Linked DNA regions of Stegostoma tigrinum. The protein of the gene in region 2 purifies or fractionates together with the protein of the main gene of each other region. This does not show direct contact. Links are inferred from orthologs where the notes say so. Each region holds a gene or a part of one and is shown on either strand. Other genes may lie near its edges.

Region 1 (12,661 bases), on a different chromosome or scaffold from region 2:
ATGCACCGCCTGGGATGACAGTGGAGGCAGGTAATCTCACAACCTTTAAAAAAGTACTTGGATGAATACTTGAAATACCAAAAAAAATTCAAGACTACTGTTCTAGTGTAGGAAAATGGGACTAATGAGGATAGTGGTGTATTTTTGACAGTACAGGCACGATGGCCTTCTCCTATACTGTATGATTCTATTACATCTCTTCCTTACTCCCATTAGCAGCCCCATCATTTTCTAGCACCAGTTTCAGAGCCATATTGGACTCAAAATGTTAACTTACTTTCTCTCTCTACAGATACTGCAAGACCAGTTCAGTATTGTCAGCACTTCCTGGTTTCACTCTAAAGGTGACTGATCTTATCAATCCATACGCAACATAAGTATTATTTCCTTACTTATACCAATGAACTCCATACTTAACAGGAGAGACAAAAGGAATGATAAATGTAAAACCAGCACTAATTTCATTAAATATATGGAATATACCACTATTAGAAATCCTAAGGATTTAAAATAAATTTAAAAGGAGTTTGAAATGTACTAGTCATGAACTGTGTAGGTTAACCCTTACCTGTTGGGCATGACAGTCATATGCTCCCTTCCCAGATACCATGAGCACTTAAGAGTTCCTGAGGAAGACATGTGGACAAGTGCATAACTAGGAACAATATAGAGGCGTATGGGCTAAACGCAGGCAAATGGGACTAGTTCAGTTTAGGAAATCAGTCGACAAGGACAAATGGGGCCGAAGGATCTGTTTCTGCGCTGTATGACTAAGCCCAACATGTGGCAAGTGCACAATCGCATGAATAGACCCGTCAACAAAAGACAACTTTTTATTATTTTGAACAGTAAGAGCATAACATGTATTCTTGGCCTTGCGTTCATTATTTCAAGCAGTTTTGAATAATGATGCAACAATTGGACTCAAGTGGAAAAGACCAGAATATAATAAGATGGCAAAAATACTTTTTATTTGGAAGCAACTGAACCAAAGCAGCTACAACACAAGAATTTTGAAATCACAGTCGGAGTTCAAACAACTAACATGAAATTCTCTGCACAGCGTACAAAGTGGCTTTGACAGTATATTAACATTTAAACAAGAGTCGGCCATGTGGCCCTTTGAGCCTGCTCTGCCATTCAGTAAGATCATGGCTGATATGATTTTAATTTCAACTTTACATTCCTGAATAGCCCCAATAATTTTCCATTTCCTTGGTTATCAAGAATCCATCTACCTCTGCCTTTAAAATATTTAAAGGTCCTGAATCCACTGCCCTTTGAGAAAGGGAATTTCAAAGACATTCAACTGTCAAGGAGAAATTTTGTTTCTCCTCATCTGACTCAAATTGGCAACCCTTTATTTTTAAGCTATAAACCCTAGTTCTAGAGATAGCAAGAACAGCAGGTGCCAGAGTCAGAGACAACACAGTATGGAGCTGCAGGAACACAGCAAGCCAGGCAACAGAGGAGCAGGAAAGTTTGCATTTCCAAGTCAGGACCATTCCACAAGAGGAAACATCCTTTCCACATTCATCCAATCAAGTTCCCTTGGTATCCTGTGTTCCAATGAAGTCACCTCTGACTCTTCTAAACACCACAGGACATAAGTCTAGCCCTTCCTGTACATACATCACACAAACTGCCAGAAAAAATAAGTGTACTAAAATCCAAAACTCACACCATACATAAAGGAAATAAGTGGGAGAAATGGCACTGGAGAAAATCTTGAATTTAAAAAATATCAAACATACAGGTAGACACTGCAATTAGGACAGTCAAAGTTCCAATCTACACCAATTTGAATTTGTCACTAAGTTTAAGACTGTCTGCTAGCTGAACTTCTGCTTCTAGTAGCAACCAAACATATTCTCCACAATATCACATTGACACAGTAAAGAAATACCTGCAAGGTTAAGATTCACAGACAGCAGCCAGAATCTTATCAACTATCACAACCATATTACTGCATCATAAGGACGAGTGTGTGCATTTTCCCCATTTAAGGTCCAAATGTAATTTAATATAACATTAGATTTTCAGTACTGGATGACGACTGGAGCAAAACAACGCTAACATATTACAGCAAATCACTATCACAGCCACATTAAACAATCTCAATTTCATTCGCTATTAAATCAAAATACAACACAGCAGAATTTTACAGAGATAGTAGGGACTGCAGATGCTGGAGATTCTGAGATAACAAGGTGTAGAGCTGGATGAACACAGCAGGCCAAGCAGCATCATAGCAGCAGGAAAGCTGACGTTTCGGGCCTAGACCGAAACGTCAGCTTTCCTGCTGCTATGATGCTGCTCGGCCTGCTGTGTTCATCCAGCTCTACACCTTGTTATCTCAGAATTTTACAGAAGTAGTACAAACAGCGAGTGCACTGCTACCATACCACCACATTATCCTTCTGAAGCACGTGGTACTTAAACAAACTTCGGGAATGTTAGTGGTCAGCAACTTGATCGAACAGGACTTTCCTCCACCTAAATAGCAGGGAGTCAAAGCCACTGATGTCAATCCCTCTGTGGCAACAATCTGAGGCATAAACAACTTAGTAACAAACATAACACTAGAATTACAAAGTTGAGCTTCTAATTATCTGTGCCATCACCAAGACCAGGCGGCTGCATCTCTATAACAATCAACTCAATCTCTGCTTCATCAGCCTCCATCAATGTTCAGTAAGTGTGTACTGTCAATGAGATGCACTGAAGAAATTCACCAAGGCTTCTTTTGCAGCACCTTCCACACTGATGACCACTACTAACCAAAAGGGAAAGGCCAGCAGATACATGGGAACACCTCCACCTGCAATCAGCCCTCTGTGCCGCTCACCACCTTTGCTTGGAGGTACGTTGCTGCTCCTTCAGTGTCATGAGATCAAAATCCTGAAAAACCCTCCCTAAAAGGCACTGCGGGCCTACTTACCCCTGACTGCGGCAGTTCAAAAAGGCAGGTCACCATTATATTATTGAAGGCAATTAATTCTTAGTCACATTCCATGAATGAATGAAAAAAAAATTGCAAATGAAGTAGTTGAGAGCTTGTCTCCTTGTCTGCCTTCCACAGGGGCTGTTCCCTCCAGGACACCCCAGTCCATAATTCCTTCAGCCCCAACATCCCCCCCACAGCCCTATGACACCTTTTCCCTGTAAGCATGGAAGGTACAACACCTGCCCATTTACCTCCTCCCTCCCCAGTATCCAAGGGCTCTAAGCAACACTCCACCTGCACTTCCCAGAATCTAGTCTACTGCATTCGCCTCTCACAATGTGGTCTCCTCTACAGTGGGGAAACAATGCATATACTAGGTGACCGCTTCACAGAACATCTACGTTCTGCTCACAAAAAAGATCCTAAACTAGCCGTCACCTGCCACCTTAATGCACCACCCTGTTCCCTGACCAACATGTCTGTCGCTGGCTTGCTGCAGTGTTCTAGCAAAGCTCGTTGCAAACTAGAAGAACGCCTGATTTTCTACATGGGGACCCTGCAACCCTCCAGATTCAATTGAGTTCAATAATTTTAGGACCTAAAAACTCTCCCACGTCCCAGCCCCCAACCCCACACACCAGGCCCTGTTACCAGAGCCTGCCATGACACGCTACCTGTTATTAGTCATTAATAGTCCCCATTAACATCTATTCACCCTCCCAGCCTGATCATTATCAACTCTGTCGAACGGCTCTTCTCTCTTTCTTTAGGCTCTATCTGATTATTTACTCCCTACCCCATTCTTTTCCCCTTTTTTTCTGCATATAAACTGACGTTTTCCCAGTCACCATCAGTTCTGAGAAAAAGTCACCAGACCCAAAACATTAACTCAGTTTTTTTTCTTCACAGATGCTGCCAGACCTACTGAGCTTTTCCAGTGACTTCTGTTTTGTTTCCATGTTTCATTTTTTAGTTGAGCGGTTGAGTGAGTTGGTATTGAAATGGAGTTAGGTACCATTATTGCTCATGTGAAACTTGACTAGGGAGTAAAAATCTCACTGTACTAGTCATAGCAATCATGCTGCTGCATTTTTACCACACTGTGGTACACTAATAAATGGATCAGTGAAACAGTTACCTGAAATTTAAATTACTGAAAAACAGTTTCAGTTGACAGATTAGGTGATATACCAGGAGGTGGTACAGTATCTAGTATTGCGGAAGAAATAATTAAACATAATTTAAACCCTTAAGCCACTGCTCTTTTCTAGGTATGGCCAGCTGATCTAAATAGTTGTTATGGGCAAGTATATGTGCGAATAATTTAGTTGCACGTATATACTTGAATCATGATATTCATGGAAATGTAGCAGTTTCAACAAATATACTATATTACATTGAATTGAAAATTGGGGAGAGACTACATAAACCATGTCCCAAGGGTCCAGAATTACTGCATATTTCAAGCCAGTCCTAGAAAATACTTTTGCTGTCCAAAATATTTAATTCCTACAACTACAACAATTATAAACACATTATTTCAGAGATAGTAGGAATTGCAGATGCTGGAGGATATGAGATAACAAGGTGTAGAGCTGGATGAACACAGCAGACCAAGCAGCATAGGAGCAGGAGAGCTAGAACTGAAAGTCTCCAATAATAGTCACGAGTCAAATCAGAATTTACGACACAGGAGGCAATTCAGCCCACCATGTACAAGGCAGCTCTCAGGTCAGCTAGTCTCACACTGGCTTTTGTTTAAACTGTAGCCCTGCAATATCTCACTTCTCAAGTGTTCATGCAAATCCCTTTTGAAAAAAAATGTTTGAGTTTGCTTCTAGCCTGTCTTCCAGGTCCTAACCACTCACTGCATTTACATTATTTTGCCTCTTGTTGCCTAAATCTGCACCCTCCAGTTCTCAAGTCTTCTATCAATAGGGACCATTTCCTTCTGTCAATTGTCTGCACAATCCATACTTTTGGACAGCTCTATCAAGTCTCTTCTCAAACCTAGGTGCACATCCTAGCTCTAATCAATCCCATGGAACTGAAATCCCTCAAATCCCAAAGTATGATGCCCAGAACTGGAAACATTTCAAATTGTTTGAGTAAAAGTTAGCCATAATTTTCTTGGCTCCCTACCATATGCCTCTTTTTATTGAGCTGAAGATCATTTGTCGTTTTCACCAATTCCTCAAGCTTGTATTTGCGCACACATGCTGATAAGTCAGTCAACGTGATTTTTTTGCTGCACAGGTGCTCCCTGCTGAGTTTTTTTTAAATTTGGCTACTATTTTCCTATTATCAGCACATGAATTGGTTCATCAGACTCAGTAACCTAAAGTCAGTTTCAGGAAAGGAGTAAAGAGACAATCTTCAGTTGTTTATGTAAATCTCTAGAAGTATTTGCCTAAATGTTCATGTCAAATTCCGGGACGTGGTACATATATCCTTTGACAGCTTCCTACTGGTGTAATATAACCCAAACCCACGTCCAACAGGGCCAAGCGCAAACTAAACGTCCCTCATCATATCTGCACGTAGCATATATTTAATCCGATTCACTCCCGCATTATGAGCTATGGATTAATCCGAGATAAGTAAAACGTAAAGGCTGTAAAGCAGATATACCATCCCACAGAGACTTAAACGGGGGGGGGGGGGGAGAGAGGTTGACTGGAACAGCGGATGGTTTATTCCAACGGTTCAGCCTTGCTAAACCCGCGCACCGGAGGGGCCGAGCCACCAACAATACGGAAGAACCGTCTTCGCAGGTTCAGAGTTGGCCATACAGACGTTCCAGGTCCGGGAACAAAGCAGCTCAGGCCGTTCGAACATCGAGTTTTCTCGCGGCCTACCGTGCACCCTGGGGCCTAACTCCCAGCGCCTTGACACGGGCCACCAAATGCGCAGCGCTACTCACGGGGTAAAGGGCTGTAGATAGTTTGTGTCTTTTGTTTGTCCACGACACTCCGGGCTAACAACTGCGTTAGCCTGGTCCCGGGTCAAAACCGACACGCGGCTGGCAGTGTCCCCTCAATCCGAGAATAGGCTCCGCCAGAGAGACGGCGCCATTGCGAACACCCCACGTGACACCAGCCCATGTGACCGAGGGGCGGGGTCAAGCCCAGCGCAACGCTGCAAGCTGCACAGTCCCTCGTTGTACCTAAGGTTACACGTATATGCATCACATCTTTTCCCTTTTGCCTACCAATAGCATAATATTGTAGAAACTACTGCCAGCAGCTTCTAAAATAGTTGCCATGACTGTATCACACGTGCAACACTAGATATTTATTTTTCCCTTTATTCTTTCGTGGGATACCCATTCCCCGTTGCCCTAGTAGCTTCCAAATGCCACTTCAGGGGGCAATTGAGAGTTAACCACATTGCACTGGTCTGCAGTCACACGTAGGCCAACAGAATAGCTTCATTCCCGAAAGAATTTGGTAATCGAATTTGGTAACAACAATCAATGGTAATCATCATGGTTACAAATGCTGATGATGATAAAATGTGAGGCTGGACGAACACAGAAGGCCAAGCAGCATCTCAGGAGCACAAAAGCTGACGTTTCGGGCTCTCTGATGAAGGGTCTCGGCCCGAAACGTCAGCTTTTGTGCTCCTGAGATGCTGCTTGGCCTGCTGTGTTCATGCAGCTTCACACTTTATTATCTTGGATTCTCCAGCATCTGCAGTTCCCATTATCACTGATACAAATGCTGATGGCCAGTTTTACTTTCCACAGAAAGTAACTGAATGCAAACATGGGATTGAACTCATATCTCTGGACAGTCAGAACTCAGGCGACACCAGGTTATAGTATGCTCCTTTAGGAGCAAAGCTCTGAAAACTTGTGATTTCAAATAAACCTGTTGGACTAGAATCTGGTGTCATTTAACTTCTGATTTTGTCCATTTCAGTCCAACAATGGCATTCCCCATATCATATACCTGGGCCTCTGGATAACTAGTCTAGTGATATCATCATTGCCATCATCCAGGCCTTATTACAAGAAATTAGTTTGGATCTATATCGATATATATATATATACACCATAAATAAAGCTGGAAATACCACCAATATTTAATTACTTTTACTGCATATATTAAAGCAGAAGCAACATCATTTAAAAGATTTAGTTTCCATGGGGTTCTGCTCTTAGAATTCTTTATGTGCTTTCTCATACATTTATTGATATTTTGGCACCTACTCGAATTCTAAACATAAATCCCATTTTTGCAATATTAAGAAAAATGCTTCACTCCACCTGGCAACCTCACTTCCTGTTCAGTTTCCAAGTACTGGTAGAAAGTCTTAAAAGAAAGTCGGGTAATGTATTAACATGAAAGAATACCTGAAATATCTCAAAATCTTGAATTTGAAGAAAATGAATGTTTGCATTATATTTTCTCAAAGGATAGTTTTAAGTATTAAAAACTGAAATTTAGCAAATGCTAAATAAAAATTTCTTCTTAGAAGTCAGAAACTACTTAAGCTTTCTGTCTAAGGTTTACTTTCAAATGGCAAAAATAATGGTATGAAGTCTATTCTCTAACCAATCTAATTTTATCTGACTCTTATCCATCTTCCAAATGATAAGTGGTCTAGAATGGCATTTGGACAAATGCACGGGTTTAAAGGTATGCAACAGTAAAGTATTCATGTTGACCTTCACAAAGCTTTCTCAGCTGTCAAAATAGGTACTACTAAAAATGGCCACCATGACCTTACAGACTCTTACCAATTGGAGTAGGAAAAAAATGCTGGACAAAATATAAGCAGTATCTTGTGGATGCTGAGGATCTGAAATAACAACAAAATGCTGAAGAAATTCAGTAGGTGTGGCAACAGCTTCTGAGTTCATAGAATCCCTACAGAGTAGAAACAGGCCCTTCAGCGCAACTGGTCCACACCAACTCTCAGAGCATCCCACCCAGACCCATCCCCCTATAACCCACCTAATCTATATATCTCTCAACACAATGGGCAATTTTTCATGTCCAATCCATCCCAACCTGCATATCTTCAGGCTGTGGGAGGAAACCGGAGCACCTGGAGGAAATGCATGCAAACACTGGGAGAATGTGCAAACTCCACACAGTCACCCAAGGGTGGAATTGAGCCTGGATCCCTGGGACTGTGAGGCAGCAGTGCTAACCACTGACCCACTGTGCCGCCCTGAAAAGTTTTATTGAACCCGATGATAATTCTGTTTTTCTCTTCATTGATGTGTCAGACCTGCTGAAATACTGAAACAATGTGCAAATCCAGGTTTATATTGGGATAAAGCCTTTTTCTTTCAGTCTGAAAATCTCAACTGATCACTGCCTGATTATTTAATTTCACCCAAGAATTTCTCTGTACTTTAGAGGATCTTGCTGTTCCTTCAGATCTCCCAAGGCCAAACCAAACCACAACATTCAGGAATTCACTTTGATTCCCTTGACGTATGAGATTTCATGAGTTCTTCCAACAGAATCTGGTTTTGTAACTTTTCAACTCTTCCCCAAGCACCTCATAATTGTGGACACCTCACCTGAAGTGCAGAAATCCCTGCATATTTACTTCATGACTCCATCAGAAAAATACCTTTGATTTCCAGTTGCCTACTGCTACTGGTCCATAGCTTCTTTACTTCTCCTGACAGTCTTCAACCATCGATGTTATAAATGCTCCCAAGTGTACTAGCTATTTCTGACAGAAAACAGCAACTCCATCAGAAACTAAGATAACAAGGTGTGGAGCTGGATGAACACAGCAGGCCAATCAGGATCAGAAGAGTGAGAAAGCTGACATTTCGTGTCTGGATCCTTCTTCAGAAAACTGAATTTCTGATGAAGTGTTCAGACTCAAAACATCAGTTTTCCTGCTCCTCTGATGCTGCTTGGACTGCTGCGTTCATCCAGCTCTACACCTTATTATTGCAGATTCTCCAGCATCAGCAGTTCAGACTATCTCTCCATCAGAAACTACCTTGGTTTCTATTAGCCCTCTACCTACTAATCCATTGGTTCTTCACAGTTGTTGACCGGTTTTCAATTACCTGTCTTAAATTTGACCCCAATCAGCCAATGACATGTTCCTGAGAGATAACACACAAGTAAATCCAAAGAAAAGAGTGCATCCTGCATAACCAATTTCCATAGCAACTTGGCATACCTGAGGTGTTCCAGTTAAAGATCCAAATGAACTAAATTTTACCTTCAAAAAAATCCCTTCGAATCTGGAAAACACATTAATAATTTATACCCTGTGAAGGAGGCAGCTGGAAACCCATAATTTTCATCTAGACACGAGGAGGTCAACCATTATGAAGTGTTAATCACTTCTAAATGTGTATTTAGCACATAAATATGGAACCTTTCTTTGACCTGCAATTAACTCCATGCCTTGTTTACCATCTTCTCAGTCCAGGTTTTGTTTCTTCCACTTAGAATATGAAAGCTAAACTCTTAAAACAGATTCACAAAACTGCATATTCACAATAGCCTGAACGCTTACATTATGATGCAATGGAAAGCAATAGGATGAAGCTGCAGAGATTGGTGCAAACATCCTAGACAAGTGATTGAAGAGGACAGGTGAGTGGCAAGACAGCCTTCAGGCATGATGTTGATGGATAGTAAGAAGAAAAAAAAGAGGAGGAGAAAGTCACAATGATAGCTTTTTGTGTAGAATGATAGAGATTATACCTTAGGAGATGGACATATAAACATGTAAAGGAAGTCCAATGAATCTGAGCAATGGAATTGTTGGGAATTACAGAATGGTGTGGTCAACTATTTGGAGATGTTAAAGATAAACATTACTCCTTATGTTTCATAGAATCATACAGGACAAAAGAGGCCAAAGATATACTACCACCAACCAACAATAATCCCACATTCCTGCACTAGGCTCAAAGCCTTGAGCATGACGGCATTTCAAGCACTCATCCAAATACTTTTTAAAAGATTGTGAGTCTCTCACTTCAGCTATCCTTCCAGGCAGTGAAAGTTTTCCTCAAATTCTCTCTTAACCGCCTGCCCTTCATTTTAAAATTATGCCTCCTCGTTACAGACCCCGCAACTAAAGAAAACTCCTTTTTTCTATTCACCCTGTACATGCCCCTAATAATCTTATATGCCTCTATCAGGATCCCCCTTAACCTTTTCTGCTCCAAAGAATACAACCCAATGTCATTCATGGCTCCAGTAAAGGAAGAGAACGCAATGGCACATTGAGTTTATAGGAACATAGAATTTTGGGGCAGCAGTAGCTCATTTGGCTATTTGAGCATGGTTCACCGTTCAATAAGATCATGAAGGAGAATGATGTGGTATTGGTCTAAACTCCAATTTTGCTTATTTGCACCCCTTGAATCACTTCTCGATCAAAATTGATCTCACACGGCTTTGAATAATTATGGATAACAAGGTGTAGAGCTGGATGAACACAGCAGGCCGAGCAGGAAAGCTGATGTTTCAGGCCTAGACCCTTCGTCAGAAACGTCAGCTTTCCCACTCCTAAGATGCTGCTTGGCCTGCTGTGTTCAACCAGCTCTACACTTTGTTATCTTGGATTCTCCAGCATCTGCAGTTCCTATCATCTTTGAATAATTATGGATTGATTAGAAGTTTTGTATTTCGTTACAGGATGCATAGATCTACAATATATTTTTCAATTAGGAAAAGATGACAGCAGTTGATGCAGCTAAAAAGCAGAAGTCATTAACAATATCAGCTACCACAAGGAAAAGTTGTGTGGACGAGAGGGTATCATTAAGTGGGTGTCATTGAAAATGAGTCTGGAGAGATGAGAAAATTAGAAAAAGTAGTAGCAGCAGTCTGGAGCTACAGCAGTTGGGACACTGCAAAGTTTGCATACAGGAAAAAGGAGATAATTTTCTATAAAGGTGAGGAAGATGTATCGCGGACTTGATTTTATGGCCCTCTGATTTGAGGCTACCAAGATGGGATTGCATCCAGAAATGGTAGAATTGGAAATCAGTGAGGGATTTTACTGAAACAAAGGTATTAGAGATGGAAGCTTTGGTTCTAAGTCATCAACAACAACTGAGATGTTATACTGGATGCAAGCAGAAAAATAGGAACTAGGAGAAGTATTCTCACTCGAGGACAAATGGTAAAAATAATGAATTCAGATGGAACAGGGAATGAGTGTGTCATGAAAAACAAGGAACTAGTCAGGGAACCATCAATATCAATGCACAAAGGCCACAAAAGGTGGGTACTGAAAAGCAGAAATAGATTTAAGTGAGTTCATAGCCAAGGATGTGGATTACTTGAAAGCAAAAAAAAATCAGAGAGGGTCAAAGACATTTAAATAAAAATAGAATCCAGAATAAAAAAAGTGATCAGTGAGCTAGTAAGGAGAAAAAAAAGAGGAAAAAGTCACAATGGTAGCTTTTTGTGTAGAAGTAGCTACTGATGGATGATCCAAAGAAGTTAACCTGCATTGTTATTGATGCTTCATCACAATCTCCCACAGCTGATGGAAGGTCTTAGATCTCTCAAAATTTCTGTGCTTTATTACAATTTCTTCATGTACATTCTTTTGATGGACCAGGATATTCTGAATATTTCACTCCCTGAACTCTTAGAAGTTATTTTGTAGTGAGACATATTATACAAGTGTTACTGCTGTGACAAGCCAACTGAATCAGATAATGACCTGGAGGCAATTTATCTCATATGCATGTTAATTACAACAAAAACAATCACAATTACACTTTGGAAATGCTAAATGTTTGCAAAACCTTTAGACATAGTTTTTCTAATAAATTCAATAAGATGGCCGATCAATCAAAAGTGATGCTGTTGAGAGATTTCAATTATCTATTAAGAACAGGAATTGGCGAGGAATTGGAAAAAACCACATTAGTTGGGAAGTTGCTAAGAAGCATCTATTGATGTAATGAGTCATGTCAGCAAGAGTCAACAGTCCTAGAGTTGAGGAAACACTTTAATGGTTTGGGCCACTCCATTATTAAATTTTGAAATATGGAGCTCTAGCTGGTTTGACATTTATAGTACACTGATGCCACATTTTGTATTGGCTCAATTTTATTAAACAATCGAATGTAGATCAACGGAAGGGGAATGGACAAAATTCTAGGTCTTGAGATCTGAGTGATGCTAGCAAAATTATTCCTATCTCTAGCTGCCATGAGAATCCAGTGGGAAGGATCTATTTTAACTACTGAATGCTAAACTATAAACAAGTAAAAATATATGCTTAAGCCAGGCTACTTATGACTGCTTAATTTGTTGTTCTTTTCTTTCTCAGTAGATGAAGAAGCAGGAGGAAACACGCTGCCATCTTCTCTATCGGCAATATTCGAGACCCGAGATCAGGCCCTACTTCCAGATGATAGTGATTTATATGTACTTCTTTTATTATAGAACAACGTATTAACTGCTCACAATGCAATCTCTTCCACACTGGGGAAACAAAATGCAAATGATCATTTTGTAGAAAATTCAATTTCGTCTACAAGCATGATACTGAACCTCTAATGGCCTGCAATTTTAATTCTCCACTTTGCTCTCATGGTGACCTCTCTAGTATACTGCATTACAGAAAGAACAAGAACGTTCAACACAAGCTCAAAGAATGGCACCTAATCTATCATTGAGTCACTTTGCAGCCTGTCAAATTCAACAATGAGGTGAACAACTTAAGACTGTATTCTTTGCCTTAATTTGTTTT
Region 2 (13,394 bases):
ATTCTTCATGTTACAGGCTTGGAAGTAAGATCTGAGTAAGTTCAGTTGAACTTTGATTACCGCAAACAAGCTGTGTGCTCATTGTTACAAGTTGATAGGAATTCCAAATTTATAAGTACAGATTCAGTATGTTGCATTTTCCTTATGCTGCTCTTCTTCAGGCATTTGCTTCTTTGTCAATTATTTGTATTTATGTACATCACCTCCTCCTTCATCAGGAATCATGTAGTTCATAGATGCATTTGAAAAGACTGGAGGGAATCGTTTACAAGGAGTATTCCAGTTTTCCATCCCGTGACAGTGCTTTTGGACATAATTTCTCAACAGCCTATCACTCATTTTAAGACTATACCCCTTGGACATCCTCCACCTGAATAAGTATTTTATCAACTAGTAATCACCAAGCAGATCATCACTTTCATTCTAGAATATAAGACTCAGTTTAGAATGTATCCTCATTATTTAATGCTTTTATCATTGTGTTGTTAAGAAAACTAGCTATGTGAATTTTTAGATGTTTAATATCTTCCATGTTATCCTTAACTTGTTGCATGCCTGTTAGGATTGTTTAATTTTAATCAACCTATTTATGCAATTAATTCAATTTTGATTTTTACTTTTACCCTTTTGATATTAATTTGTGCTCTCCATGATCCACTTGAAAGATTTCTACTCTGAACCACTGGGCCATCGCTAATTTTTCTGCCCATTAATTTGAAAAGACCCCTTCCTATCATATTAAACTTTGCCTTTCTTCAAATATGCTGTAATCTTTGAGTGTGTATTATCCTTTTGAATGGAACTACGTTATGATTATTAAACCACAGTTCTCCTACTGTCATGTCAATTAGTTTTTCCCCTGAAATTCTCCAAAACTGAATTGAAATAAATACATACTGATCAAGCAACAGTCATATATTCATTCTAAAATATTTTCCTCATTACAATCTACGTTATCTTTATTGCTTGAGCATAACTAAATCTTCCAAACTTTATTCTATGGTATGTGTTTGGATCATTAACAATGTACAATTTCCCTACATATTTTCTGAACTCTGTCTTAGAACAACTGTGTATTTCAGTGCTGTTCCAGAATGTTTTATTAAACTGCCATCTTACCTCACTTGCTTCATTTCCAGCTCTCCTAAGAATGTTTTAAGCAATACAGTATTAAGGTTATAAATTGGTTCAACCTTAAGTCACATCCCTGTTATGGATACTATATCATGTCTCTCCATAGATACTGTAATTTCTGACTTACTGTGTTTTGCATTCACATGTGTATAATTCAGTTTTGGCTCTTGAATTACTGGAATCTTCAGCCTTGTGTATTTTTCTGCTGTGTTAAGTTTTATATATCAGTACAATTGATTGCTTCTCTTTCTACTCTGACCCCATTTACATTTAATTAAGTCATGCCTTTCATTTCAAAAGCTTTAATAATCAATCATCCTCTTTAGTTCTAAATCAGGTTACCCCAGATCCTACTGTATTAGATGCTCCTTTTGGCTGTTGTTTCAGGACTTTGATGGAGTTTTAGTTCAAGTGATGACTGTTCCCTGTGTACAACTTTCATTTGCTTCACAGTTTGGTTCAATAGTGCAAGCACTCAATCCTCTACATAGTCAGAAGTCACACAATACCAGGTTATAGTCCAATAGGTTTATTTGAAATCACAAGCTTTCAAAGCGCTGCTTCTTCTTCAGGTGGATCCTTCTACATCATTCGCACTACAGCCACGTATTTTTTCTAATCTTCTCTTCTAACCTTCCAGTCTGTAGTGTGCAGAGAGCAATCCAAAGACTATCATCCATGATGTCAAGGTACTGTATACCACCTTGAATGTTTACCTCTTGCACTGTAAAATTTTGATTCCATGCTGATCATCAAAGTTGACCTTTTTTAAGACTGCTGATTGACAAGATCTTGTCTGAAACATTAAACCATTTTTCTGTCAGATCGTAATTGGCCTGTATTTCTAGAAATGCATTTTTCAGATTTCTGGTATTGGCTAAAATGTCTCTAAATTGTTCATTGACAACAAATGTAAAGAAAGTATGGACTCGGAATGCAGCTTTTATCTGGATATAACCTCTTTAAGTTACATCACAATATTATTTATTTCAATTCCTGTTCTTCTTGGATATTTTATATTGTCACTCCACTGTAGATTCTAGGGTCTAGTGTGTTTGATCTTAAAACACATTCATGGAATGTTGGCATCACTGGACAGCATTTATTGTCCATCTCTAATTGCCCTTGAAAAGGTGGTGGTGAGTTGCTCTCTTGAAATAATATTCAATAACACTGTTAGGGAGGGACAGGCAGGATTTTTTTAAAGCAGCACTGAAGAAATAGTGATGTATCTCCAATTCAGGATGATGGAGTGACTTGAAGGATAACTTGGAGGTTGTGGGCTTTCCATATACTTTATTACCTTTTTGTTTATCTTCATACTTGTATACCTGGGTAGCACCAGTGACAGCAGTGTGGCTGAACAGTTTAGAGAAATAATGATTACACTCATCCTTAGTTATATGCTACTCTCAAATCTGTGTACACATGAAGTTGGTCCCAAACCCCATCATCATCTTAAATAAAACAAAGAACTGCAAATGCTGAAGATCAAAAACAATTACAGAATTTGTTGGAGAAATTCAGCAGGTCTGGCAGCATCTTAGGAGAGAAAGCAGAGTGAACGTTTTAAGCCCAGTGACCCTCCTTTCTGTTTTTGTTTCTCTTTTTTCTCTCTGATTCACCCTGTCTGGCCATCTTGGTATACAGGACAGTTAAATAAAGTTGTATCTGTGATATCTGTTGTCTGTGTCCTTAACCCTGCAAACAATGAAAGTTTGTTGCGTTTCATTGTTAACATAAATGACAGGTTTTTTTGTCCATATGACATTTGGAAAATGCTTATATTGGGATTAGTGCATCCCTTCAAAATTTCAGCACAAACATTTGGCACTGATGCTGAGGTTTCACTCAGAAATCTAATATACAATTTTGCTTCAGCCTGCAACTAATAATACACCGTAGGAGTGGTGCAAAGAAGAATTACTGCTATGCTGAATTCATCTCTGCTTACCTTGAATCTGTCCTCCCGACCCCCCCCCCCCCCAAAAAAAACACCTCATCTTCGGTGTGGTCATCCAGTCCCTATACACTTTTATCCCCCACACAGATGACCTAAAAGTCCTCTGCTTCTTCATCTCCCGCAGGCCCAACTAGTCCCCCTCATGGGCCCAAGCTATGCCTGCTTTTTCATAGGATACATGGAACAGTCCCTTTTCCACTGTTACATTGGCACTATCCCACCCCCTTCCTCTGCTACATAGGTGACTGTATTGTGCTGCCTCATGCTCCCACAAGTAGTTCAGAAAATTTATTCACACCTTTCACCTGAACCTCAAATTTACCTGGTCCATCTTCCCTCTCCATCCTGGACCCCTCTGTCTCCATTTCTGCCTCGAAATTGACATGTATTTCAAGCCCAATGAATCCCATGGCTATCTAGACTACACCACCTCTCACCCACCCTCCTGCAAGAGTGCAAACCCTACTCCCAATTCCTCTGCATCTACTCCCAAGATGGAGTGTTCCACTCCCAAACATCCCAGATGTCTTCCAATTTCAAGGCCCGCAACATCTCCACCCCAGGCCCCCCCACCCCCCGTGATCAAAAATGCCATCAACTGCATCTCTCACATTTCCTGGACTTCTGCCCTCAAAACCCCTCCCCCCTCTCCCAACAAAAATACAGAATTCCCCCTTCTCCTCACCTATCAGCCCACCAACCTCCACATCCAGTGTATCACGTTCCACCACTTCTGCCACCTACAATCTGACTCCACAACCAAAGAGATATTTCCCTCCCCACCCCATCTGCTTTTTGTGAGGATCGCTCACTGCAGCTCACTCGTCTACTCCACATTACCCACTAACCCCACACACCTGGCACCTTTCCCTGCAACTGCAGGAACTCCTGCACCTGCCCTAAACCTCCATTCAAGGCCCAAAACAAACCTTTCATATCAGACAGAGGTTCACCTGTACTTCTGTCAACTTGGTCTAATGTATCCATGGCTCCCGCTGTGGCCTTCTGTACGTCACAGACCATTTCGTAGAGCATCTGCACGCTGTACGTGACAAATGACAACACCTTCCAGTCACCAACCATTTTAACTCCCCTTCCCACTGAAATGTCCATCCTGAACCACCTCCAGTGTCACAATGACACTATCCACAAACTGGAGGAGCAACACCTCATTTCACCTTGGGAGCCTTACAGCCCAATGGCCTAAACACAGAATTCACCAGTTTTAAAATCTCCCCACCCCAGGCTTCAAGCCATGTCTGACCCTCCCTCTCATCCCTGCTGCCTTGACCTGACACAACCTGTCCACCTTCTCTCCCACCTAGCCACCACTCCCTACCTACACTCACCTATCACCATCCCACCTACCTTCCCCAGCCCAATCGTCCTCTCTATCTATTTCCCAGCTCCCTTCCCCCTCCCCATTTCTGAAGAAAACATCAACTTTCCTGCTCCTCTGCTGCCTGGCCTGCTGTGTTCCCTCAACTCCACACTGTGTTATCTCTGACTCCATCATCTGCGGTTCTTGCTATCTCTGTTACTCCTACACTAAACTCTTCGCTGCCGTTCACTGTTGTTTTGTCTGTACCAGCAGGAAAGAGTGAGGGACCATAAGCAAGCACAGCAGTAGGGATAAGTTAAAGAGAGGGTAAATGCTAGTAAACACTGTCCAGACTCCACCTGCAGCTACTCGATTACATACAGAGCTGATCAGTCAGTGTTTAATTTAAAATTCAACATATTTTACTTGTTGACCATACTCAATTTGTGCTGCCCTTGCAGATGCATCAAAATATGTTCCCTCAGAAAATGTCATTATTTGTCATGGATTTCACAAAGTCCAAGTACATAGTTAAATGTCGTGAGCCTGGTTTGGACTTAGCAAATTGAATGCAAGAAGGTTGATTCAGGTTCAAAGAATTGAAGATAGAGTGAAAATAAATCACTGATTTGCTTTGTACTTAATTGATGGGTCAAATGACAGCATTCTCTGAATACTTGGCAGATTTGGGAGTAGTAGGGAGAGAGAGTCAGTGTATGAGAATGATAACCTGTTATCACAGCGTGTAACATGCAATTCCTACATATGTCTGTATCCCATAATGACAGCCTACAAGGCCTCAGTTTTTTTCCTCTCAAACAGACCCATCCAGACCCCTCCTCTGCCTAGCCGAACTAGTTCTTAACCTAAATAACTTTTCCTTCAATTCTTCACACTTTCTCCAAATCCACAGGAGTGTTGCATAGGCCTCAGCTGCTGCTGCCTCTTTGTCGGTTATGTTGAACAGTCCCTCTTCAGTACATACACCGGTACTGTTCCCCAATTCTTCCACTGCTACATCAATGACTGCATCGGTGCTACGTCCTGCACTTGGTGAACTGGAGCAGTTCATTGACTTCGCAAACAACTTCCACCCAGCCCTTAAATTCACTTGGTCCATCTCAGATACCTCCCTCCCATTTCTCAACCTCTCAGTTTCCATTTCTGGCATGTTTACGGACTGACATTGACTATAAATCCACAGACTCTCACAGCTACCTCGACTGCACCATCTCCTATCTGTATCCTGCAAAAACTCCATCCCGTTTGCCCAATTCCTCTGTCTCCATTTTATGTGCTTTGATGAGATGTTCCATTCCCAAGCATCCAGGATGTTGTCTTTTTTCAAGTAATGTTCTTTTCCCCACTCTCATCCAGATAGCCCTCCACCTTGTTGCCTCCATTCGCCGCTCCACAGCTTTAAACCACCACCTCCCAAAACATCATAAAAATAGGGTTTCCCATGTCCTCACTTTCCACCCCAAGAGCCTCTGCATCCAACATATCATGCTGAAACACTTCCGTCAACTCCAATTAGATCCCACCATCCAAAAAATCTTACATTCCTCACCCCTCTCTGCCTTCCGCAAGGACCATTCCCTTTGCCGCTCCTTAGTTCACACCACACTGCTCACTAACCACCCCAAACCCTGCCCCAGTACCTTCACCTATGACTGTAAAAGATGCAACACCTGTAAACACCACCTCCTTCACCTCCAGCCAGAGCCCTAAACAGTCTCTTCCAACCTAGTCTACTGCATCCGGTGCTCCCAATGTCGTCTTCTTTAAATCGATAAGACTAAATGTAGCCTAGGTGACTGTTTCACCGAGCATCTTGACCTAGCCTATAACGGTCAACCTAACCAGCCAGTCACCATCCACTTCAACTGCCCACTCCTGTCCTACTCTGACGTGCTTTCTCTACCTCCTTTGGTGTCACAATTCAGAAAGCAAATCTGAGGAACACCATTTTATCTTCTGCCAGGGCACCTACAACCTAGAGGACTGAACACGGTTCTCTAATTTCAAGTAACCCTCCCACCCATCTCCTGCCACCTCTCTTCCAACCACTAACTGCTTTGAACCCTCCCATTAACAAACTAGGTCACACCTACTACTACTGCCCATCTATCACCACCAGTTGGCTGGACCCACACCCCCACCCCCACCCCACCCACGCCCCCACCACATTTAGTCACGTGTAAGATAAAATAATACCAACATGATTTAAGAAAACTTATTATTTCATTATAAATTATCAGCGATCACAAGAAATTTCGTACCAAAATCACTTATGTTAAGACCCTGCTTTTAACATTATAAGGCAATATAAATATAGGAATTAGTGGGCAAAATAATTTGTCACATCCACTCAAATAACAATCTTTTTTATAACATGCTTCGCATCGCTTCAGGCCTTGACGTTGCATTTATACTCATACGCTGAACAAGAGCGACGAGCGACATACTATAACTGCTTAATTTTAAAATAAAACACTTTTATGTTTCATCACACCCTTTAAGGCCACGTGGCTCTTAGTTAACTATCACTAATTCTTAAGATAGTCACGATCATCGTTCCAGGAACTCACGTGAACATTCTCGACTTTTCCACAGAATGGTTTTTAAGCGCATGCGCTTCCATCCCCACAGCCGCCGCAATGCTGATGCGCAGTGATACCCTATTGTGATTCATTGATGAGTGCAGTACACGTTTTAATGTCTGGTCCTTCCGCGAGAGTCCTATGAATTTGGAAAGCTGTCCGAATTTGAAATATCTAAAGGAATATGCGTAATGACAACTCAATAAAGTTACAAAGCTCTTCCGATAAGACTTGCGAATTATGTCGTTTCTGGAATTGTGATCGGGTTTTTATGAGTAGAGAGACTCTTTGACGCGAAAGTAGTCCCGATTAGAATTCTCATTCCGGGCGCCATCTGCACACCAGAGAGAAGAGAAACTGAGTTGACGGCCGACAAACGCGCGATGTTCATTAGCAGCAGTAAATATTTCTTTTTGTGAAATTTCACACAAACTGTGGTGACGAAGGCAAATTGACGTGAGGTTGCCGCGATCGACTGCGTTAGAATATTCAGGCCTCGGCACTCAGCCATCGATTGACTGGGACAGTGACACAAGCGAAACCCAGTTAAAACCTGCCCCGAAAGAGGAAGCGGCTTGGATTGAGCTGCACCCCGAACGAGAGCATGGCGGCGTCGGTTGGGGGTGTAACAGACAGCACAGGTGAGAAACATAGAAGGGGAGTATCGATGCAGATTCGGCTGGTACCATTTGATTGTTATGAAATGAAACCCGAGATTTGAAGTAGAGTGGAGCAGTTCCGTCAGTACAAATCCGGTTGAATCCCCGGAAGAGAAGGAAACGCGTAGGAAAAGCATGAGGCCGACTTGCATTTTTCCCCCCGCTGTCCTGTGTGGGATGTTACGACCCAGATTACTTAGTTGAGAGTACTGCTATTATTGTGTATGAGAACCGGTCAGATTAGTGTTCCTTTGGATATTGTTTATCACAATGATGCATACACAAAGGTATTCATGCGTAAAGAAACCAAGTCAATGGAGGAAGGAAAAAAACCTGGCTGGTGAGTTTCGGTGAGATCAGTGTCATGAAAGCGTAATTAATCCAGCGCAGAAATCGTAACATGGATCAGTACAACTGGGTATGTTGGCCTATTGGCCTAAGGATTTTTGAAGCGGCCAATCAAGTTTCAATATACTTTGGCACTTTTGAACAGTCTCTTGTTATTTGCTAACTTTTAAGCATAAATGATTTTAATTAAAATTTGACTTACTTTATCAATAAGCATAGAGTCTGTAAAATCACACATCATCCGGATGAAGGGTTTAGGCCCGAAACGTCAGCTTTTGTGCTCCTGAGATGCTGCTTGGCCTGCGGTGTTCATCCAGCGTCATGCTTTGTTATCTTAGTCACTGTGTGTGCTTGGTCCGTATTCTTCCAAACATTTCGTATTCATGTACTGACCCAGGTGGCTTTTAAACACTAACTGTATCTGCATCCATCTACTTCTTCTAAAAGGTCATTCATGCATGAACCAATCTGGGGGAGGGGAAGGGGGAGAAATAGCCCTTCATGTCTTTTATTTTTAACCTTTCTCCTCTCGTCTTAAAAATGTGACCCCCCCCAGTCTTGAAATCCCCTGGCTTAGGGAAAAGACAAGTTGCAATTCACTTCCTCTGTGCCCTCATGATTTTATAAACTTCTGTATGGTTCCCCCCCCCCCTCACCACCTGTGGTAAAATGGTAAAAAGGTAAAAAATCATAGCTTATTCAGCCTCTCCAATAACTTAAACCTCTGTTCCTGGGAATGCACTGGTAAATCTCTTCTGAACCAACTCCAGCTTAATAATATCCTTCCGAGAATGGGGAGACCAGAACTGGCACAGTACTCCAGAAGAGGCCTCACCAACATCCTGTACAATCTCAACATGACATCCCAATACCTATATGTGAAAGGTCTGAGTGATGAAAGCAACCATGCTATATATCTTCCCAATCACTTTATTTATGTGATGCAAACTTCAAAGAATTATGTACCTGAACCCCTAGGTGTCTCTGTTCTGCAATGCTGCTACTTGGCCCTACTTTGAATTGTATAAGCACTGCCCTTGTTTGTTTTAGCAAGATGCAAAGTCTCACATTTATCCCGCTTAAACTCCAGCTGTCATTCTTCATCCCATTGTCCTAAGTGACTAAGAGCTCTTCGTGACTTAGATAGCAAGTGACCACTACAATACCAATCTGGGTGTCATCTGCTAATGTAGTAGGCTGCTTCCTATATTCTCATTTAATCATTAACAAACAGAAGTGGACCAAGCATCAATCCCTACGGAAAAGGGCTGGTCATAGGTCTCCCATCCGTGAAATGTCCCTCTGTCTGATGTTAAACGAATTTTGTATCCAATTGGCAAGCTCACCCTGAATCCCACATTATCTAACTTCACTAATAGCTGAGCATATGGTCAGATAAATAAATGATCGTGGTGTGAGTGCACAAATGGGGTGGAAAAGGGAGAGTTTGCTACCGTCAGCATTATTCAGCTGTACACAGGGTTAAATGGGATTAGTATCTATTGGTAAATGTAATTCAGCATCATGGGGCTCAGTGGGTAAACACTTTACCTCACTGTACCAGAAACCTGGGTTTGATTTCAGCCTTGGATGACTGAATGTTGAATTTGCATGTTCTCCCATGTCTGCATGGGTTTCTGTCAGGCCCCACAGTCCACAGATATGCAGGCTAGGTGGCTCAGGTGTGGTAAATGTGGGATTATGAGCACAGGGTGGGGTGCTGTTCAGAGGGTTGATGCAGACTTATTGGACTGAATGGCCACTTTCCACATTGTGGATATTCTATCACTCTTAATGTAGAGGCAACATTTCCTGACAGTGTATTTTTAGACAGCAAGGTAGTCATGTAGATACAAAAATGTCATGTTTAGGATTTTCCGCTCCAGAGATTAAAACCATAAGACAGAGGAAGAGAATTTAGGCCGTTCAGCCTATCGAGTCTGCTCTGCCATTCAACCATGGCGGATAAATTCCTCACCCCAATCTCCTGTTTTCTCCCTGTAACCCTTGATCCTCTTGATAATCAAGAACCTGCCTATTGCAGCCTTAAATGTACTCAGTGATTTGGCCTCCACAGCCTTCCGTGGCAGTGAATTCCAGAGGTTCACCACTCTCTGGCTGAAGAAGTTTCTCCTTATCTCTGTTCTAAAAGGTTTTCCGTTTACTCCAAGGCTGTGCCCTTGGATCCTAGTCACCCCTACCAATGAAAGCATGTTCCCAACGTCCACTCTATCCAGGCCATTCAGCATTCTTAAATTTTAGGATTAGGATTGCAGAATGTACTTGCGTCTAAACTTGCAATCAGGTCTTTATCTCCCCGGAATGTTTTTGCTGTTTGCCAAAGCATGGTTTAGTGGTTAATGCCTTATGCTGCTATTTTTCTGATAGCTAAATTCAGAACACATGGATGAAAAATGGCTGTCTACGTATTTAGATATGAGTGCATTGTACTTGAATTTGCTGAACCTTTCCTGGCACCCATATACTGGTACTTCTAGTGCAAATTGATTAGTGTTTGAGGTTCCAGCTCTCATCAATTTTCCTTTCCTTACTTGAGGGGTTTCTAAATTGGACAGGGACCAGGGATAACATTTGGCACTTAATTAAAGTGCTTCAATGCCAAACTTCTTCTTGTTCTATTAACCTGATTGCTTGTTGGCCCCAATCACATAATTAGTCTAAATGCCATTTTTATCTGGGTGCTTGCAACTATGCTTTTCCTTTATGTATCAGAGTACAGTATTTTGAAGGGAAGTAGAACAGTAGTACTCTTGTTACATTTGGAAAGCCAGGGTGTTCAACATCGTCATTATGCATGATAACTAGTATCAGTTACATGTCATTGGGTGCAGATTGAAGACATGTCTAAATGTCTTGCTGTTTAAAAAAAAATTTAATGAAGCTTTCATTTTGCACCCAGGACAATTTTAAGGTTAACCAAAAGTAAAAGAAAATCAGCTTGTACAGAGGGGTTATTACAGACATCTGGAGAAGGTGGGACTTGAACCCATTTCCTGGCCTGGGCATGGGGACACCACTATTTCACTGCAACAACCCCCAGAACATCACTTGCTGAATGAGAGGAGAGTACTGATTAATTGGAAGTGAACTTTGATTATTGGGGATGGTGCCATTGGTGAATTAGTCCTCTGTTAATCATTCATCACACTCAGAAAAAATATTGTTTTGGTAATCTTGACAGATTGTCATGTGAGTTAAAGATGAAAAGCTTTGGCAGTTTTTATCTAGAAGTATGCCTGAATCGAAGAAGAACATTCAGTATGACAGAATATATTGATATCTTAAAGCACCAGGGGTCTTTCATAGAGCATTATTTACTATTATCATTCTTTGGGTACCTCACCCTGCTATCTTTTTAACAATTATCTTGAAATTGCCCACAAAGTCTTTCTAGCTGTGTCTTGAGGTGCAATAGTTGTATTGCAGAAATAGAAAATAATAGCAGTTGTAGGCCCTTTAAACATCGCCTTCATTCAATGTGGCCATGATTGATCGTCCACTTCACCACTATACTCCGTTTTCTCCTCATTCTTTGATTTCATTATCTCTGAGAACTGTATCTAACTCCCTAGTGAAAACTTTTAATGTTCCAGTCTCAACTGCTTTCTGCAACAGAGAATTCCCCAGGCTCTCAATTTTGAAGAAATTTCCCCTCATCTCAGTACTGAATGGGTGTGCAAACTGGCAGTGGCTTCCCACACATTTGCCATAACAATATGGGGAACGTAGCATAAACAGAAAGAATGATACTGTTTTCTGCAACAAAATGTTTATTCATTCACAGGATGGTGGCATCACTGGCTAGGTAGCATGTTATTGCCCAGAGGGCAGTTAAGAGTCACCCACATTGCTGTGTGTTTAGAGTCTCTCACAGGCCAGTCCAGGTAAGAATGGTAGTCTCCTTTATTAAAGGACATTAATGAGCTACATGGGTTTTTCCAGCAATTGATAAGGGACTCATAATCATCATCTTGTTAATTCAAATTTCACCATCTGCCCATGGGAAATTTTGATTCCAGGCCTCTTGATTAACAGTCCAGTTATAATACCACTAGGCTGTCATCTCCCCAGTAAGAGTTCTGATGGCTGTTACCTGCCCAATATCACTTATGAAAGGTCAGGATATCAGCAGTCTTCATGGATTTTTTTTTGTTTGAAAGAGCAATTGTCAAACAAATATTTGAGAGTTCTTTTGAAGAAGTAATCAGCTATAGATAAAGAGAAACTGTTGGGTGGGCTGTATTTAAAATTTTCATCCAGCACTTTCCCTTGCTCTTCCATTGATACATAGCTACAGCAATGCATGTAGCATCTAGAAGCTGTATTAGAGCAACTCACTAAGGCTCCTTGAGCGGTATCTTCCAAGATTAAGGTCTGTAACACCTAGAAAACAAAGGCAGCTGGTGCATTTTTAAAATTAATTTGAGATGTGGGTGTCTTTGGCTGTTCAGTATTTATTGCCTGTCCCTAGTTGCCTTTGAGGAGGTGGTGGTGAGCTGTCCCATCTGAACTACTGCAGTGTGCCTGCTGTGGGTTTACCCACCATGCCATTAGGAAGGGAATTCCAGGATTTTTGACCCAGCGACATTGAAGGAGTGCCAATATATTTCCAGATCAGGCTCCTGCGTGGTTTGGAGGGAAACTTGAAGGTGGTGATTTGCCCTTATATCTGCTGCCCTTGCCCTTCTAGATGGAAGTGGTGATGGGTTTGGAAGATGCTGTTTGAGGATTTTTGAATTTCTGCAGGACATCTTGTAGATAGGCTGCTACTGAGCATAGGTAGTGAAGGGAGTGGTTGTTTTTTGGATACAGCGCTAAGCAAGTGGGCTGCTGTGCCCTGGATGGCATCAAGCTTCTTGAGTGTTGTTGCAGCTGCACTCATCCAGGCAAGTGGGGTGTATTCCATCTTGCTCTTGGCTTGTGTTTTATAAATGGTAGACAGACTTGAAGGAGTCAGAACATAAGTTACTTGCCACAGTATTCCTTGCTTCTGAGCTGCCTTTGTAGCCACTGTTTGTGTTGAATCTGTTTGAGTTTCTGGTCAGTGATATCCCCCAGGATGCTGATAGTGGGGGATTCAGTGATGGCAGCACCATTTCATGCCAAATAACAGTGGTTAGATTGTCTCTTATTTGTGTGGTGTGAATGTTACTTGTCAGCCCAAGCCTGGATATTGCCCAGATCTTGTTGCATTTGAAGATGGACTGGTTCAGTATCTGAGGAGTTACAAATGGTGCTGAACGGTGTGCTGTCATTAGTGAAATCCCCACTTGTGACCTTAAGGTGGAGGAAGACCGTTGAAGCAGCTGAAGATTGTTGGGTTTAGGGCACTATCCTGGAGGTGT

The links.
Region 1: the proteins of UDP-N-acetylglucosamine--peptide N-acetylglucosaminyltransferase 110 kDa subunit (region 2) and death-inducer obliterator 1-like purify together in Homo sapiens (affinity purification with mass spectrometry; 3 studies listed by BioGRID and IntAct, with this or other methods). This does not show direct contact. The link is inferred for Stegostoma tigrinum from reciprocal best matches to the Homo sapiens genes OGT and DIDO1.

The regions. Positions count from the first base shown.
Region 1 is NC_081372.1:5,457,112-5,469,772, reverse strand, and holds the start of death-inducer obliterator 1-like, read right to left. Parts: upstream 6,037-12,661; 5' UTR 5,871-6,036; intron 1-5,870. UniProt on the Homo sapiens protein: Putative transcription factor, weakly pro-apoptotic when overexpressed. Tumor suppressor. Required for early embryonic stem cell development.
Region 2 is NC_081368.1:40,711,588-40,724,981, reverse strand, and holds the start of UDP-N-acetylglucosamine--peptide N-acetylglucosaminyltransferase 110 kDa subunit, read left to right. Parts: upstream 1-7,285; 5' UTR 7,286-7,625; coding exon 7,626-7,662; intron 7,663-13,394. UniProt on the Homo sapiens protein: Catalyzes the transfer of a single N-acetylglucosamine from UDP-GlcNAc to a serine or threonine residue in cytoplasmic and nuclear proteins resulting in their modification with a beta-linked N-acetylglucosamine (O-GlcNAc).